Linked DNA regions of Cricetulus griseus. The protein of the gene in region 1 interacts with the protein of each later gene in a biochemical or structural test. Links are inferred from orthologs where the notes say so. Each region holds a gene or a part of one and is shown in the gene's direction. Other genes may lie near its edges.

The links. The genes of interacting proteins can lie anywhere in the genome.
Region 2: the proteins of Atxn3 (region 1) and Prkn form a complex in vitro, tested with the Homo sapiens proteins (4 studies listed by BioGRID and IntAct, with this or other methods). The link is inferred for Cricetulus griseus from reciprocal best matches to the Homo sapiens genes ATXN3 and PRKN.
Region 3: of the proteins of Atxn3 (region 1) and Capn2, one has a biochemical effect on the other in vitro, tested with the Homo sapiens proteins (2 studies listed by BioGRID). The link is inferred for Cricetulus griseus from reciprocal best matches to the Homo sapiens genes ATXN3 and CAPN2.

Annotation. Positions count from the first base shown.
Region 1 is NC_048598.1:104,075,372-104,081,155, forward strand, and holds part of Atxn3 (ataxin-3), read left to right. Parts: intron 1-370; exon of another isoform or gene 371-451; intron 452-581; exon of another isoform or gene 582-700; intron 701-3,858; coding exon 3,859-4,023; intron 4,024-4,248; coding exon 4,249-4,293; intron 4,294-5,784. UniProt on the Homo sapiens protein: Deubiquitinating enzyme involved in protein homeostasis maintenance, transcription, cytoskeleton regulation, myogenesis and degradation of misfolded chaperone substrates.
Region 2 is NC_048595.1:289,628,028-289,633,811, reverse strand, and holds part of Prkn (E3 ubiquitin-protein ligase parkin), read left to right. Parts: intron 1-1,827; coding exon 1,828-2,068; intron 2,069-5,784. UniProt on the Homo sapiens protein: Functions within a multiprotein E3 ubiquitin ligase complex, catalyzing the covalent attachment of ubiquitin moieties onto substrate proteins. Substrates include SYT11 and VDAC1.
Region 3 is NC_048598.1:11,976,488-11,982,271, forward strand, and holds part of Capn2 (calpain-2 catalytic subunit), read left to right. Parts: intron 1-703; coding exon 704-769; intron 770-1,829; coding exon 1,830-1,887; intron 1,888-3,230; coding exon 3,231-3,295; intron 3,296-4,122; coding exon 4,123-4,191; intron 4,192-4,944; coding exon 4,945-5,023; intron 5,024-5,784. UniProt on the Homo sapiens protein: Calcium-regulated non-lysosomal thiol-protease which catalyzes limited proteolysis of substrates involved in cytoskeletal remodeling and signal transduction. Proteolytically cleaves MYOC at 'Arg-226'.

The DNA of each region.
Region 1 (5,784 bases):
TAAATATGGTTACCAGGGGGTGAGGGAGATGGCTCCATGATTCCAAGCACTGGCTGCTCTTCAGAGGACCCAGCAACCCATATGACGATGACTCAACCCTCTGCAACTCTGGTCTCAGAAGATCCAACCCCTTCTTCTGGTCTCCACGAATGCCAAGACTTGTACACAATGCAGACATAGATGCAGGCAAAACACCTATACACATAAAAATAAAAATGTCTTTAAAGAATATGGTGACTGTAGTTTAAGAACCCTACACTGAAGTGTATTGCCTAGCAGTTGGACTGAAGAGCATCACAGCTGCTTCCCAAAGTTGAGTGTCTGGTTGCCATGTTAGATACTTCTTGATTTCTTTTCTTTTCTTTTTGAGATGGGATCTCACTATGTAGGTGACTGGCCAGGAACTTATGGATATACACCTTTCTCTGCCTCTTGAGTGCTGGGATTAAAGGTATGCACTGCCATGCCTGGCCTTGACTGAATGGTTTTGTTTGTTTTGTTTTGTTTTGTTTTTGTTTTTGTTTGTTTTTTGAGACAGTGTTTCTCTGTGTAGCCCTGACTGTCCTGGAACTTGCTTTTAGACTAGGCTGGCCTTGAACTCATAGACATCCCTGCCTCCCAAGTGCTGGAATCGAAGGTGTGCAGAACATCCCTGGTATGCGCCGCTACCACCTGGCCTTGTCTGAATGTTTTAAATCAGGTATGTCATACATAAGAACACATGAGTCGCTAGGGTGTGCAGTCAAGGAAGCACACATGGAAACAGTCCTAAGATGAAATCACCTCCTCTCAGTCCCCTTAGAGGGGGACTAGCCCTTCCAGTGCTTGCTTAATTCTACCATTGAAGATTAAGAGATTCATTTCGACTGTTTGTAAGCACCTTTCATTGTTATTGTGTGTCTCTGCGTGATATGTTGTATGGGTGGACACATGCACCACTGTGCATGGAGAGAGATCAGTGGAAAGCTTTGTGGAATGTTCTCTTCTACTTTAAATAGGTTCACTAGGCTCTTCCCCCACATATATTTTTGTTGTCTTTGTTGGGGGGGATGGGGGGGTAGTGGGGATCGAACCCAGGGGCTTGCATACACTAGCTACATCCTTACCTCCTGTGTCTACTTTTTTTTAGTGTTATGTGTGTGTGTGTGTGTGTGTGTGTGTGTGTGTTTATTTTTTAAGAGTATTTGAGAGATTCATCCACATTGTTGCAGCTACTTGTATTTAATTTACTTTTATCCTTCTATACTGTTCTTTTGGAAGTACACTTTTGTGATCTAGACTGTGTTGGGGTGCTTTCCAGTTTGGAAGCATACAAGTAGTGCTTTGGTGAGTGCGTTTGCAGTGTCTGTGTGTAACAGCAGAGCACATGGATGAGCTCTGGTAGAGATGAAAGTTACTGGAGAGTGCTTTCCCGAGGTTATACTTAACTCCTGTGACAACCATTTTCTATAATTCTAAACCTCTCCTCTGTAATAGCTGACCCAGAGACTGGATAATAGTAACACATTGTAAATTTTCTTTTATAAAAATACAACTTTTGGGGGCTGGAGAGATGGCTCAGCGGTTAAGAGCACTGACTGTTCTTCCAGAGGTCCTGAGTTCAATTCCCAGCAACCACATGGTGGTGGCTCACAACCGCCTTGAATGAGATCTGGTGCCATCTGCCTGCATGCAGGCAGAAGACTGTATACATAATAAATAAATAAATAAAATCTTTTAAAAAAATACAATTTTTAGGGCTGGAGAGATGGCTCAGAGGTTAAGAGCACCGACTGCTCTTCCAGAGGTCCTGAGTTCAATTCCCAGCAACCACATGGTGGCTCACAACCATCTGTTATGAGGTCTGGTGCCCTCTTCTGGTGTGCAGATATACATGGCAGCAGAATTTTGTATACATAATAAATAAATAAAATCTTTAAAAAAAGATACAATTTTTAGCTAGGTGTGGTGGTGCATGCCTTTAATCCCAGCACTTGGAGACAGAGGCAAACAGATTTGTATGAGTTTGAGGCCAGCTTGGTTTACATAGTGAGTTCCAGAGCTACAAAGTGAGACCGTGTCTGAAAAACAACAAAAACATTTTTTAGGGCCTGGAAAGATAGCTCAGCAAGTAAAGCACGTACTGCCAATCCTTAAAACCTGAGTTCGGTCCTTGGGACTCACATTATGGAAGGAGAAAATTGAATTCTTCAAGTTGTCCTCTGCATCCCCTCCAGCCAATCAATTAATAAGTATAATATTTAAAAATCATTGTTTTAGTGTGTGTGTGTGTGTGTGACATGCATGCTAGTGCTGGCATGCAGATGGCCAGGTGTGCATGTGGAGGTCAGAGGGCAAGTACCCAGGAGTCATTCTCTCTTTCTACAGTAGCATCTGGGGATTTACAGTGGGCACCTTCACCTGCTAAGCCACCTCTTGTCCTGTGCTACGGTTTTGATACACATGTCCATGATGACTACAGAAGTTGAGATCTTTTTTTTTTTTTTTTTTTTTTTTTTTTTTTTTTTTGCCTCTTGACTATCTTGTGAAATGTTTGCATTTTCAATAGGGTATAAGTAGAACATCTGTACGTTTCTACCTCGTAGTGGGTGGTATTCAGTAAAAGTTGCTCCTAGCAGTAGATGGACAGTAGAAGGAAAACAAGGCAGAGATAAAGAATTCTGTTACCATGTGACTGCAACTTGAAGGGATACTTAACTAGCTCCAAGCCACCCTAGGCAACATGCCTTGGCAGACTGTGAACATAAGCTTGCTCTAGCTGTGTGTCAGATGTAAGTTCTCTGAACTCTGCCTGTTCCATGACAGACATGTGTACTATATCTACTTCAGCAGTTACATTTTGTTCCTATAACCTTGATTCATCAGGGGAAAGTGAATCTTGTAAGGTGTGCTTTGGAGTCATCACTTGTCATGTAACAGCTTAGACCATGGGGCATGATGCCTGGCAGGTTGAGTTCAGTAGGCTTTGTTGGCCCTTAGAGAGCCAGAGTTAACAGAGGAAGTGTTCTCTGCCTCTGCCTCCCAGAAGGCAGGCTTAGGGTCTGTGTCCACTGGACTCATCCACTCTTTACCCATAGCTTAGGAAAGCAACACTGTTAGGAGCAGGGGAGTGACAAGAAGGCTGCTCAGTGTCAGGCTGACTGGATTGGTTAGTGCGTTCCATTTGTGTATGAAAGCCAGCTAACCAGCATTAGAAGCCACTTGACTTGTGGGATGATGTACCCAACCTCCAGGAGAGGATGCTAAGGACTCCTTAGGGAGCTAAACTTGGCCGCAGTTCCTCTCGCTAGCCTGTCCACTCATGGGTATGGACTGTCGTCAGCTTGGGACACTTCTCTTTCCTATATGCTACATGGAATGAGTCTGCAAAGTCGGCCGATGAGAGCTTCAGCTCTAGAGCTGTGGGTCTTAACCCAAAACAGAATTGTTCCCACTTGTTCCTGAGTTTGAAAGGACAGGCTTTTAAGGTCAAATAGCAACAAACTAGTTAGAAGAATGAATGTTCTAGGAGATAACATTCCCTTTTTCCAGAAGTAATTTGTCATGGAATCTCAAAAGACGAATTCTTGTAGGTACTAAAACATTCAAAAGGCTAAATGTTTTTATAGGGCCACTTTTAGGCTTATATGAGATGGGATAGATGAAGTTATACTGTAAATCATTCTTCATTTTTGTTCCTATAGTTAAATGGCTGTAAAATAAGTGTGGACAAATGAAAATGCATATACCTGTAAATCGGGTTTGCCTAAGGCTAATAATGTTTGACTGTATTAAAAAGTTATAATTAAATTTTTTAGAAGATACTATATAAATCTGCTTAATAAATCACATTTCAATTTATTCTTTTGGAAACACTAGCAAGAAGGCTCACTTTGTGCTCAGCATTGCCTGAATAATCTATTGCAAGGGGAGTATTTTAGCCCCGTGGAGTTGTCCTCAATTGCACACCAGCTCGATGAAGAAGAAAGGATGAGAATGGCAGAAGGAGGAGTTACTAGTGAAGACTATCGCACATTTTTACAGGTACTGATTTCAGACTTACCAAATCCCGTTTATTTTTAACATGCGGGTGTTCTTTAAAGGAGGATGAGCCATTCTCCCCTTCGGAGTCTGACTTGTTAATTATAACTCTGCTCTTCTCTTGGTAAATGGGACTGTACAGCATGTTCTTGTAAATGTGCACACTAATGACAGTTTTTAATCCTTTTCCCATCCCTCTGCCCACAACTGCCCATGAAAATTGAACAGCAGCCTTCTGGAAATATGGACGACAGTGGCTTTTTCTCTATTCAAGTAAGTAGTCCAGAGTGTGTGTGAAGTGCTGCCTCACTTTCAGCGCTGCTGTGCTCACGCTCCGTTTGCGGTTGATGTGGCACAGCCTGGCACAGCTTTTTATGTAACGATGGAACCTTCAGGAGTTCCCTCGGTAAACTGTCTGGAGAGGATAAGACTGTGCTCCAGAGTGCTGTCCACAGAGAGATGAACATTAGAACTGTAGACTATTCATTTAGAACAGGGCTTTGGTCGCTTGCTTGCTTAGGACAGGCAGGGTCCCACTATGTAGTCTGGCTGGTCTGGGACTTGGGTTCATCTTCCCATCTGTGTCTCCAGACTGGAATTTATAGGCATGTGCTACTGTACTCAGTTTAGAACAGGGCCTTTAAAAATTGCTTTCTGAGAGAGATTGCTTAATTTGCATGTAGGTGCTAAAAGCTTTATTTCTAGTAAATTACAGTGCTTCAAACTTACTGTCTCTGGTCCATTTGAGAAATTGCAATGGCTTGCAGCCTTCTGTTTGAATCATCCTATGGGACTGGGTTCCTGTAGTACTTCTATGGCTTCTGATTTGTGTGGTAATTTGTGACCCTTTTGTTTGTCTGTTTGGTTTTGTTTTGTTTATTTGAGACAGGGTCTTTCTGAATTTGTGGCCTGTTTGAGAGCATGGGATTGGGATTGGCTCCAAGGCCTCACAGATGTTCAAAGTCTACTGCTGAGCCACATCCCATTAGGCTCCATTTTAATTCTGTGGTGGTTTATTTTTTATAGTGCTGGAGATGTTATTTAATGTTTTGTCACATACTGAACAAGTATTCTTCCCTAGAGAAAACCTCTAGCCCAGGGCTTTATGTGTGTTTGTTTGTTTTGCTTTTTTTAGACAAGGTGTTGCTTTGTAGCCTAGCCTGGTCTTGAACTTCCCAAAGTTCTGCTTTGGCCTCCCAGGTGCTGGAATTGCAAGTGGGAACCACCATGCCTAACTTAATTCATGTACTTGTTGGGAGGCTTTTATATATGGATCTTCCATTCGAACCATGTAAGGGTTGTCCAAGTTCTTTTAGAATCTCTTTTGAGAGATCTATTTATGCAAGTAGTTTTCTTTTTGTTTTTTAAGATTTATTTATTTATCATGTATGCAGTATTCTTACATGTATGCCTGCAGGTCAGAAGAGGGCACCAGATCTCATTATAGATGGTTGTGAACCACCATGTGGTTCCTGGGAATTGAACTCAGGACCTCTGGAAGAGTAAGCAGTGCTCTTAACCTCTGAGCCATCTCTCCAGCCCACAAGTATATTTCTTTATAAATTCCTTCTGTGCTACCCTCCTAGAGTCCTTATTCTCTAGTGCTTCCACCCAGTGCTCCAGTTGACATTATGAGGACCACTGGCCCTGAGCCTAAGTCAAAGGTGGCACAGCCCCTGCCATCTCCTTTGTGTGTGGCATTGCTTTCATTTGCTGCTCCCTGGCAATTGTGTTTGCTCTGAGTTACTTACTACACAGTGCTTG
Region 2 (5,784 bases), on another chromosome or scaffold:
AGTTTCCAGGCATATTCTGTTGAAGCACTAGGCAAAACCATTTTCCAGCCTTGATTCCATCATATCTGCTAAAATCAGTAGTGAATGGCCATTCACATGGCTCAACCTAAGATGCAGGTAAGGGGGGAGAATAGTGAGTGCCTACTAATGCATCTCCATGGCCATGGATACTTGTGGAGGATGGCCCTTCTGTGCACGTAAGGACATAAAAAGCACTCGGCCGAGGCCTGGAAAGGAGAAAGGGATAAACACACTAGTTATGTGATAGTATGACACACATACCAAAGATTCTTGTAACAGCAGAAACCAGACATGTAGGGAGTAATTACCAAGTCATCATAATAATGAAGGCCTAGTATGGGGAGGTGACAATGAGGGTATGAAGGCAGTGAAGATGAGAAGGTCATTCCTGGTGCCTAATCAGTCACTCTGGACACCTTACGGGATATATCAAGGCAGGGAGGACAAGTGCTATGCAGTGACTGAAGCCTGACCAGTGTCAGAGAATGGAAATCAGCATTAAAGCTAGGTGTAGGGGTTCCCCTGAGATGCCATAGAGGGTACCAAGCAGCGCTTTGACAGAAGTAAGGCAAAAGACAGGGTGGCTTGGGGAAAGAGGATGATAAGGAGACGCAGCAGAGAAAGACTCCATTAGGAGCCATTGTGGGAGGGACCCTGGGACTAAGGGCAGAGCAAGCCTCTCAGGGTTACAGAGGCCAGAGCAGGAGGATGGTAAAACATGGGAATGCTACCACTCTAACGACCTTCTGACTGGAGAAGGCAAACACCAAGCCACAGTGTGCTTGGCAGTGGATTCAGTTGAGTGGCAGAGGTCACTGTTCTTAAAGGGTTTTGATAGCAACAGTGAAGAGATTACTGGAGGAAGACACCAAAGCAGGAAGATTACACTGTGTCCTTTATGTAGTTGTATTGCACAAGGCATCTGTTGACCATTCCCACAACAAAAGAGGGTAGTAACAAGCTGAAGAACACGGAGATGTGGGCATTAGTGAGGGAGCCAGATCCTAGCCATTAGAATATTCAGAAGAATGGTGCTCCTATCTATTAGTTATTCTGAACTAGGACTCGACCTAGGGTGGTCTAGGTCTTACCTTAGCAAATATCAACCCTTAGTTTTATTCTAAATATTACAGATTCCTGTTCATGAAGAAGAGTATAGGAGCACAAAATGTTCTATTGTAAATGTTCATTGATTTTAATCATGAGGTAGGCAGAAGGACAAACACAGCCTTCACTAGCTTCCCCACTGGTGCTGCAGTATGCTTTCCAGTGGCTGTGGGGACAGGAAGGAAGGTATACAATTTTCCACGAGCACAGTCATTGCAATTCTGTGGAGAAATGCCCAGGAACTGATAATAACCTTCAGAGCTTCCACAAAGCAGAAATGGCTTCTGGTGTTTGAATTAAATGAGTTAAGGACAAGAACCTGAGAAGGAAAACCCATCTCAAATGGGTATTACTTGCAGGTACTTAAGATGCATTAGGATCTGTTTTCCTACTAGGTTCTGTAAACTTCTGATGTTTTCCATAGTTTTATGTTTTCTTGTTCCCCTTCCCCTCAGATGTCCACGTCTATCCCCCAGTTCCATGCTACCCACCTGTCATATGCAGTGTGTGAGTTCTGTAACCCCACGGCAGGATGTTCCTAAGTCAACTGAACACGCGTTGCTTTCCACTAGTGCTCATAGGTGTTGAAGTTATGTAGCCTTTAACTGTGTTTGTACACTCCAAAGCTGAGGAGGACTTAAGGTCTATCTGCACATAATGCTGTCCATGTTCTTATCTTTCTGCCTGCCCCTCCCCCAGAGCTGTGACCTGGAACAGCAGAGCATTGTTCACGTTGTTCAGAGACCAGGGAGAAAAAGTCACGAGACACATGCATCTGGAGAGGACAAGCCCCACGACACCTCAGGGGGTTCGGTATGGGCACCCAGGAGCTTGACCAGGGTGGACCTCAGTAGCCATATCCTACCAGCAGACTCCGTGGGACTGGCGGTCATTCTGGATGCAGACAGCAGGCATGGTTCAGAAGCAGCCAGAAATCCAGGTAACTGCAGTGATGCTGCTGAAGAATTTTGTCTGTTAACTGACTCTCCAGAGAGTGTCCTCACTCTGCACACATTTGGTTCATGATATGTTTGGGGCTAAAATCTTTAAGTGACTGCAGGGGGATGTCCCGAGCATACACAGTTGTAGAAGGGAGGGGAGTGCATGAAATAGTGAGTAGGAACAATAGAACAGAGGTGAGAGTAGAGCAGACATAAAGGATGCTGAGGATGCATGGGCCATGAACAATGCGTTATGTTTCTCCTTTGAGGAGGTAGGGTGGTAAAAACATGTGGCAAGCTGTGTGAGGGTTTGGGTATACAACCAGGAGCACACATGTCTGTCTTACACTTTGTTTTTCTTTAATTTCTTGGGTTCTTAAATGTATTTTCTTTGACTATATTTTCAGTGATGCAGAGAAGGTTTAAAAATCAAAGGTGTTTTTAATTTCTCATTCACACTCTCTGGCCCCAGGTCATGATGTCAGTATAATCATTTCAAGCACTTTCCTTGGTAAATAAATGCATGGCCTCAGTGAATTTCTTTAGTGATGACTGATCATGTTTAGTGCACAGGGAAGTGTTCCTCACAGTTTGGAAGCTGGGACACCTAGGTGGCCTGAGGTTGGGAGTCTGGAAGGGCCTAGCATCGATTTCTAAGGCGGCACCATATTGGTGCCTTTCTCTGAAGAGATGAAGACCATGTCTATGCCTGAAAGAACAAATGATGGGCCCACTGTTTCTTCAAATAATGACTCAAAATAATCCTCATGCCAGAGACATATTTTGTATTCCATATTATCTAGATGTCTATATATTCATGGCGAACTATTCTCTTGTTTGACTATAGTGATCCATCATGAATTCATTTTTTAATGACATTAATCCTACCCCTGAGATCCTGAGGTTTCCACGTCTTAATATCATATTTGTGATTAGGTTTAGAGGGGATATGGATAGTTAAACCCTAGCAGACAGCCATCATTTTGTTATGCTGATGATATTAATATATTTCCTTAAGCATTAATTATCTGAGATGAATAAGTAATGGCAGAACCCTAGCACTTTGGTCTGTACATACAGATAAAAGCCAATAATTAACTCTCCAGAGTAGTTTATTTCGTCTCCCACATAGACATAGATAGGCCTGGACTAGCATGGCTTTCTTAGCACCAGGGATCCCAAGGCCAGAAAGATGGAAGCTTCAAAATAATAAAAAATGCCTCTTGTTAAAATCCCTAAGTACTGTTTAATTGATTTTTAAGACTATCAGTGATCTTCTAGTTAAAAGATGAAGGAACAACAACAACAAAGAACATTTAAGTAACAGTTTCCAGCTGTAGTTACATAAAAGGGTGGATGGCCCCAGAAGTTAGGTGTACTGTTTCTAACCATGAAAATAATTGTGAGCTCATCTCATAAAGGGAAGAACACACAGGACAAAGAGGTCCTGAAATTAAAGGAGCTGAAGCTGGCTGGATGAGAGCAACAACCTGGATAGCTCCCAAGAGAGGCAAGAGTATAGAAATAGTGGAGCCGTAGCCGGCTTCGAAGAGCAGTGCCTTGACCTTACAATTCAGCACCCAAAGAACTGTTGCTCAAGGACGAAACAAGGATAAAAACAACCTCATAAGCCAGCATGAGCTTGTCTGCCCTCAGCTTGCAAATCCTGTTGAAGGATTTACCACAGCAAAAAGTGAGGCTGAGGCCAAAATAAATACTTGAGGGACAACACTCACAAACAAGCCGTGTTGGTGTGAATTATGATGATGGTCAGTTTGATGGACAAGCAAGCAAGGTGCAACATAAACAGTGGAGAAAATGTCACTTAATAGAAAAGCTGCATTAAGAGATTACTACTGTAACAATAAAAAGGGTAAGCTAGAATCATAATGTTGACCCTCAAATTAGTACTCTGATGTTGGTTGAGATGTAGATTGTTCTGTGTTTTTATGCATTATGCTGCGAATGTCATTCTGTTGAAGCCAAGAGAGAGCAATTCTATAGCTTCATGGAAGTGAGTGAGCTTCAAGATGAACCTTCCATGACACCTGTAGACAGGATTGTAACAGAAATTTATGAGGTTATGAAAAATAGAAAGAATAGCTGTCTTTAAAGTGTGATGTTGCATACCTATGATAATTCCATAGTTAAAACAAATGGTCTGTATTTGTTATATTAACAAATCAACAAATACAGAGTTAAGGCTCTTTTTTAAAAGTTGTCAGTTGCAAATGGATGCTCAGTGAAATATGGCTTATATAAAAATAAAAACATAAAAAACTACACATGCTGTTCATCATGAAGATTATCATGTGGGTATGGTTGAAAATAAAACATAGTACTAAAACAGTTAATTTTTCATACTTTTAAGATGTTTATTGACCAAATCACTCCATTATATTAGTAGAACAACCAACAAATGTGACATTCAAATTTTCTTTCTAAAAATAAAATAAACATTTACATTTTTGAGCAAAACTCAACCTCTCTACTCATTGTCTCAACAAGAACAACGGCAGAATAATCCCATGTGCACACACCCAATACCTTCTTCAGTCTGCTGCTGTTTCTGCCTATGCTATCTTATCACTTAGGTTTAACTCTGTGTTCATCTAAATAGAACCATAAGAAGCTGGTGTGGTGGGGACTGGCTTCTTAATCCAGAAACCAAAGTGAGAAAGCCATGTTGAAAAGCAAGGAAGGAATTTAATCATTGATGTGGAAATGGGGAACAGCATCCTCAGACCTGACTTCAGGTTTCTGAGATGAGTGAGCTTGCAGTTTAAATAGAGGAGGGGTTGGGGCAGGAAGGCACAAGGGTATGCATAATTAAGCAACCTTGCTCACTTTCTGGCCTGATGATTCTCAGTGCTGGCTCTGTGAGATCCTGGAGAAATCTATTGTTCCAGGGCCAGTTCTCTTTCTATCATGATATAACAACTCCTGCTTAATTGGTGTGAGGGCTAGGGATCCTCATGGTTCCTTCATGGGACAATTGTTCTTACTTAGGGACCAGTGACACAATAGGGTCATCTGCCTATAGGGCAGCTGTTTCTAGAACTCAAGGAGAATGACTCCATTCTCTCAATTTGGTTCATGGGAAGATTTAGCAACTGACTAAGGTTGGTTGTGTGTCTCTTCATTGCTCTTACTTTGTCTTCATCCTGGAAGGAGAAGGACGAGCAGCTTGACATGGCCTATCCTCAGGTGGGGATCACGTCTGTGTTAGACTTGTGCAGGAATCTGACCCACCCCTCTAACACAGTGAAGGCAATAGATGCAGAATGAGGGCCAAGACACCATTTCTTGTTCTGCTTTTACAAATGCATTGTGTATGTGTGAACCGAAGTGAAGAGTCAGTTTGTCTTTTCTTTTTCAGAAAAAGCAATCTAACTCTTTATTACAGAAATGTCTGTAACCTGAGAATTTGCTTTCCAGGTATCTGTAGGTAGGAGAAATTATCTAATCAATAAGAGAGGTGATACATGATTTACATAAAAACCACTTATACTGTTTATACTGTGGAACTTGTCAATGTCTCAGTGAAGTCACATCAGACCAAAAGGACAGTGGAGACAAGTCTTGGCTAAGGAGAACCTGTACACACAGCTCTAAAATAAGCATGTTTAAAAAGTCCATGAGGCATTCCTCCATGCTCAGCACCTCCAGCACATGCCCTGTAACAGAGCTACACCAGAAACTCTGTCAAACCTAA
Region 3 (5,784 bases), about 92 Mb from region 1:
AAGCCTGGTGCATGTCCTAAGTACCCAGTCGAACACCAAACGGTTTGTCATTGACCAAACTGTTCCACAGCATTCCACTCGGTTCCTGTCAGAGTTGACCATACAAGGTCGTTTTAGTTAAATATTAAAGATACTTGGAATTGCAAGAAGTTAAAGCATAACCTCCCCTGCCATGTGGTTTCCACTCCCTCTCATGGGCTTTAGCTAAAAGAAACCAAACAAAACAAAACCTTAGCTAGGCACGGTGGTGCACACCTGTAATCTCAGCCCTGAAGAGACTGAAGGATGAGGAGTTCAAAGCATCCTTGCCTATGCAGTGACCTCAAGGCTACCCCAGACTATTTGAGACCCTGACTCAAATAAGGAAAAAATCCTCAAAGGACAAGTGTGGTGACACATACCTATCACCCCAGCACTTGCCGGGTGAGACAAGGATGAGGAGTTCAAGACCATCCTCAACTACATAAGGAGTATGGGGCCAGGCTGCATTATATGAGATCTTGTCTCAAAACCAAACAAAATATTTAACTCTTCACCCTGCCATTCACTGTAAGCCCAATGTCCTTAGAATTCCAGCCTAAGGAGCAGGAAGACTCTGGAAATTGGAGAGTGGGGGGGGGGCTGCCATTAAAGGGAAAGGGCACCTTCAATCAGATCAAATTTCTCTTTAATGAGTTTCCTATTTCTGTGCCTCACCTTCTAGATTGAAGCTAATGAGGAGGACATTGACGATGGTTTCAGAAGGCTGTTTGTTCAGCTGGCAGGAGAGGTAGGTGTCACCAAAATTCTGCTGACATAAAGAAGTGATTTTCCTGGAGGAGACTTCATTTAAGGGGGAAAGAAAGCAAACTAAGCAAAAGCAGATTTTTGGTCATTCCTGAGACCCTTAGCCCAACACCAAGGGATGTGACCCTTGCTCACATCCTCTCAAGCCCTCTGCTGACTCCCAGGGCCTCACCTGGCCCTGGCTCTGCTTTTCCTTGAGACTCTTGGCTCACTTTGAGGCTGTTTTGTTCCCTCTGTTCTGTGCCAACTGAGACATGAAACACAACTCCTGGTCTTGACCCCATAAACACACCTGAGATGGACGGGTCCCATTCCTCCAGAATGGAAGCAGTGCCTACCAAAGCACCACTGTCCTTTTCTTAAAATAGTCCCCCAGCCTACAGTCCCTCTACAAAGCCAGTCCGCCCTTTCTTCCCTGCAACCCCAGAAGCAAAGTGTCCTTCTCCTTGTGTGGCTCTCTCCAGTGTTACCATGAGGCCCATCTCCTGTCTAGCCACAGACTCATCAAAGGGTGATGCAAGCTGTGTCACCCCCCACCCCACCCCCATTTCTCAAGGGAAGGGTCCTCAGAGAAACTTAGTCTCCACTAACTGAACCACACCTGCCCCTCTATACACACCCTGGACAAGGTTACACCAATCACACAAATACACCTAAGTGAACAGAGGTAGCTGGCTCACTTCTGAGGAGCCCTGGCAAATGACCTCAGAGAAGGGCTGAGCCATGGCTGGTCTTAAGCAGTTTCAGGAAGTTGTAGAGGGTAGATAAGACCCTGCAGGAGGGGTGGCGTGGGAGAATTAGGCTGAGGAAGACCGTGAACGTGTTCCCTGCCATATAGAAAGGGTGACTAACTCCACCCAGCATGTGCCCTACATTGTAACAGTATGTTAAATACAGCCTAGGGCACTACTTAGGGTAGGCTGGGGACAGACAAAACATCAGTTGGGGCATTCGCAAGGTCAACAAGACTCATCCAAGATGTTCACTGCGGGTCACCCAGCTCCCATGGGAGCCATAACGATGGTCGGCTCCTATGTCCACAGGATGCGGAGATCTCTGCCTTTGAGCTGCAGACCATCTTGAGAAGAGTTCTAGCCAGGCGTAAGTGTCCCCTGCGCACATCCCTCATCCTACTCCTATCCCCGCAGACATGAGGGACTCCTTGCTTCAAGCACACGTCAGCTGCTACGGCTAAGCCAGCCCTCTCTGCTCCTACATGAGCTGTTGCCTTTGCACTCCCAGCACCGGGAAGAGTGGGACAGAGGAGGTGTGTGACGTAATGGTACAGAGCAAGGGTTTCTGGGTCTAGAGATGACAGGTCAAATCCAAATTCTTCTACTTACAAGCTCTCTGAGTAAATGACATCACACAGATCACCTGTCTGACTTTTTAACCCTTATCTGCAAAACAGACACCCTACGTATGACTCCCTCTTCCCAGTGGCTGGACATTACGTAAAATCTACCTGGTCCAGAGCCTGCATGCTGTAAATGGAAATTCTTGTAATGACTAGTTGGTGAGAAAAGGCTAAGTCAGTGCAGATGATGGGCACAGAGGTCCCAGAAGCTTGTAGGCCAATCTAGCATACATGGGGCTTAACAACAGAGACCCTGTCTCAAACAAGGTAAGGGCTGACACCCAAGGCTGTCCTATGACTCCACACATGTGCCGTGGTACCACTCATCTATACTAATACACATGCATACACACCTGTCATACACACATTACCATCATACACACACACACACACACACACACACACACACACACACACACACACACTCCTCATGAAGTCTATGGGGGGGGGGGTGTGACTAGAGTCTCAGACCACCAATGGCCCAGGACTCACCTAGTAAAGTGCAGTAGGTTCTAGGTCCTCAGATTTCTCGGTCTGCTGGGACACAGACACAACTGTCTGCAGATGGACAGATGGAAACAGCCACCTTCCTCTCTCTGCTCAGAGCCTACAATGAACACATGTGCTCTCTGGCTGCACTCGACCACAGACAGTTTTCCACCTGTCAGCATTTAAAGGTTCAGCCATGATCAGGTTGGGTAGCACACACCTCCACTATTTATGAGGCAGAAGTATGAATTTGAAGTCTGCCTGAGCTTGAAAGCAAGGCTCCGTCCAAAAACAAAACAAAAACAAAACAAAACAAAACAAAACAAAAAAACCCAGCCGAGTAATTTTTTAAATTCCTTTACTTGTTTATTTTAATATTAAAGCCCTGTTTGTCCATGGTAGTTATACAGAGAAAGCCAGCAATGTAGGATTCCCTGTGCTGCCCCATTTTGACAGCCAACTACCACACCTGGCCAAAGCTATCCACAGGGCTTTGGTAGTGGCCGGCACAGAGGAAGGACGTGTCTACCTTTGTAGAAAGTTCTGTCAGATAGTACTGGTCCAGAAGCTTTACTAACAGGTCTCTTTTGTCTTTTAGGCCAAGATATCAAGTCAGATGGCTTCAGCATTGAGACCTGTAAAATCATGGTGGACATGCTAGATGTATCCTTTAATGGCTCAGAACGGAGACTAGCCCACTCGACTCTGCCTTCATAGGCTCAGAGTATAACAGACAGCCTACTAGGTCCTCGGCTAGAATCCCTGGACATGCACCCACCATCCTGCCCAGAGCAGCCTGGGCAGCTTCTTGAACAGGGTTCTCCTGCTTTTCCAAAGTAGAGCTTCCCTAACCCATCGTGTGCCTGATATGACTGTGTCTGTGGCAAGGTTCCCTTCTAAAACCATGTATGGCTAGACACTTCTGTTCATTCTAGCACATGGTGGTGTTGAGGCAGAAGGATTTCCACTTTGAAGCCAGCCTGGGCTACATAGCAAGACTGTCTGAAAAAAAAAAGTTTTCCAGACCTGAAGCTGAAGGCCTGCCTACGTTGTCATTCTTTCTCCTTGGTCTAGCTCCCCCTGGGCCACCCACCTGTCCCTGAAGCAGACTAACCATGCTCCCTCTTGTTACTGGTTCCCTCAGTAACAGAACAGTTCAAGTTTCTGTGACACTATCTGCTGGCCACAAGGCATGTACCTACGACACAGCAGCTCCCTTCACAAGACACCTTAAAAATACCCAATAATTCTCACGGTCCCAGTCATCTGTCATCTCATAACAAACTGTTGGCAAGATCTGGGGTCTCCATCACTCCCTTCCCGCTGCCCTTTTGAGGAAACTCGTGAGTACAAAAGGCAGAAGGCAGAGCCTTCTACAAAATGTCTCTGTGCATGTGTTGGAAGTACTGGGAGAGCCAGCCCTCAGGCCAAGCAGATGCCACTGTACCCAGTGACCACATACTCCAGGAGCTTTCCTTGACTGAGGGCAGGAAGATGGGAGTGGCAAGCTGGGGCTGAAGGAGTTCTACATCCTCTGGACGAAGATTCAGAAATACCAAGTAGGGTCCTGGGGACCCTGGGGTGGGTAGATCAGTGTTGGGGGATATTCCAGACACAGACTTTAAAATGTCACTCCTCTGGAGGGTGGGGGAACATTTCCAAGGGAATTGGACTTTATCCAGAGTGGAACTCAGAAGGAGTAAAGACCTGGCTACAAAAAACACACAAAGCAAGGGCTTTGCCAGGAAGGCAGTCTTAGCCTTTCCTTTGCCTGACTAATGACCAGGAATGAGGCCACTGTCAACAGTTTCCTGGAAAGGCTGCCTGGCCTCTTGTAGTTTGGCTGTGTGGCCGTTCGTATGTAAAGCATAGCATCGGCCTGTGCTGACGGGCTAGGCGATTTGGTGGGCACATTACAAAGTCAGCACATAGAAAAAGGCAACAGCTCTAGTAACACAGTTCCCAACCTGCGGGTCACGACCCGGTTGGGGTTTGAGTGACCCTTTCACAAGGGTTGCATATCAGATATTTACCGTTTTGTAACAGTAGCAAAACTACAGTTCTAAAGTAGCAATGACAATAATTTTATGTTGGGCGTCACTGCAACATGAGGAACTGTGTTAAAGGGTCACAGCATCAGGAAGGTTGAGAACCACCTCACTACTAACGATTGAAAGGGAGAGGGGTCCTAGTAAGGCCAGCCTAGAGGCGGGGAGATGGAAGCTCCTCACAGCTTCACACACACCTCACAGGAACCTCCACAGCTGTGTTGCTTTGGGTCATGGTTCTAATACGAATTTTGTGTGTTCCAGAAAATTTACCGGGAAATCGATGTTGACAGGTCTGGAACCATGAACTCCTACGAGATGCGGAAAGCCTTGGAAGAAGCAGGTACCACTTCATGGCCGCACCTCCTTACCTGTTTTGTGTTGAGCCTCGTTCTATACCATACAACATAAAGCTTTGTTGGTGGGTCTGAAGATGTAGCTCAGAGGTAGGCTCGGGCCTATCATTCACAAGACCCTGGGTCCTGTCCCCAGCACAACCAAAGTTAGATGAACCAAAATTTGGTTGGTGGTATAAAGCAGGTCCTGGTCTAAAACATCACAAGCACATCTTCTCATTCCCCTCCAAGAGACAGTGCTCAAATTAAATGTCGTCCTGGAAGCTCTGCCCTTAGCGTGCTCCTGTTTTATCTGAAACAGCCTGGCAGAGCAAGACGGCAAAGTCAGCTCTGAGAGAGGTGGGGGGAGGGGGTGTCTGTGTGTGTCTGTGTGTGTGTGTGTGTGTGTGTGTGTGTGTGTGTGTGTGTGAACAAGATCTCCTACAGCTGCAAGGAAAGCTGCAAAGTGCAATCAACATGCCCAGACAGTGACAGGCCTGTTAAAGTTCCTTTTCTGTTTACAGGAAGAATTAGTATTAATTAGTCTGCCACAATCAGCCTGCCACCTAAAATCTAGGAAGAAACTAATCTCAGATTTGATTTAGAACTTACACGGTTGTTGTTTCGTGTTGATAATCATGGTTATCAATTAGGAGCAGCATGACCATTGCAAAAACAAAAACAAAGAAACAAACAAACAAAAAAACAGACAAAAGCTTTATTTGTTAGTGAGGAAATAGACAGGCTGTGGAACAGTTCAGAAATGAAA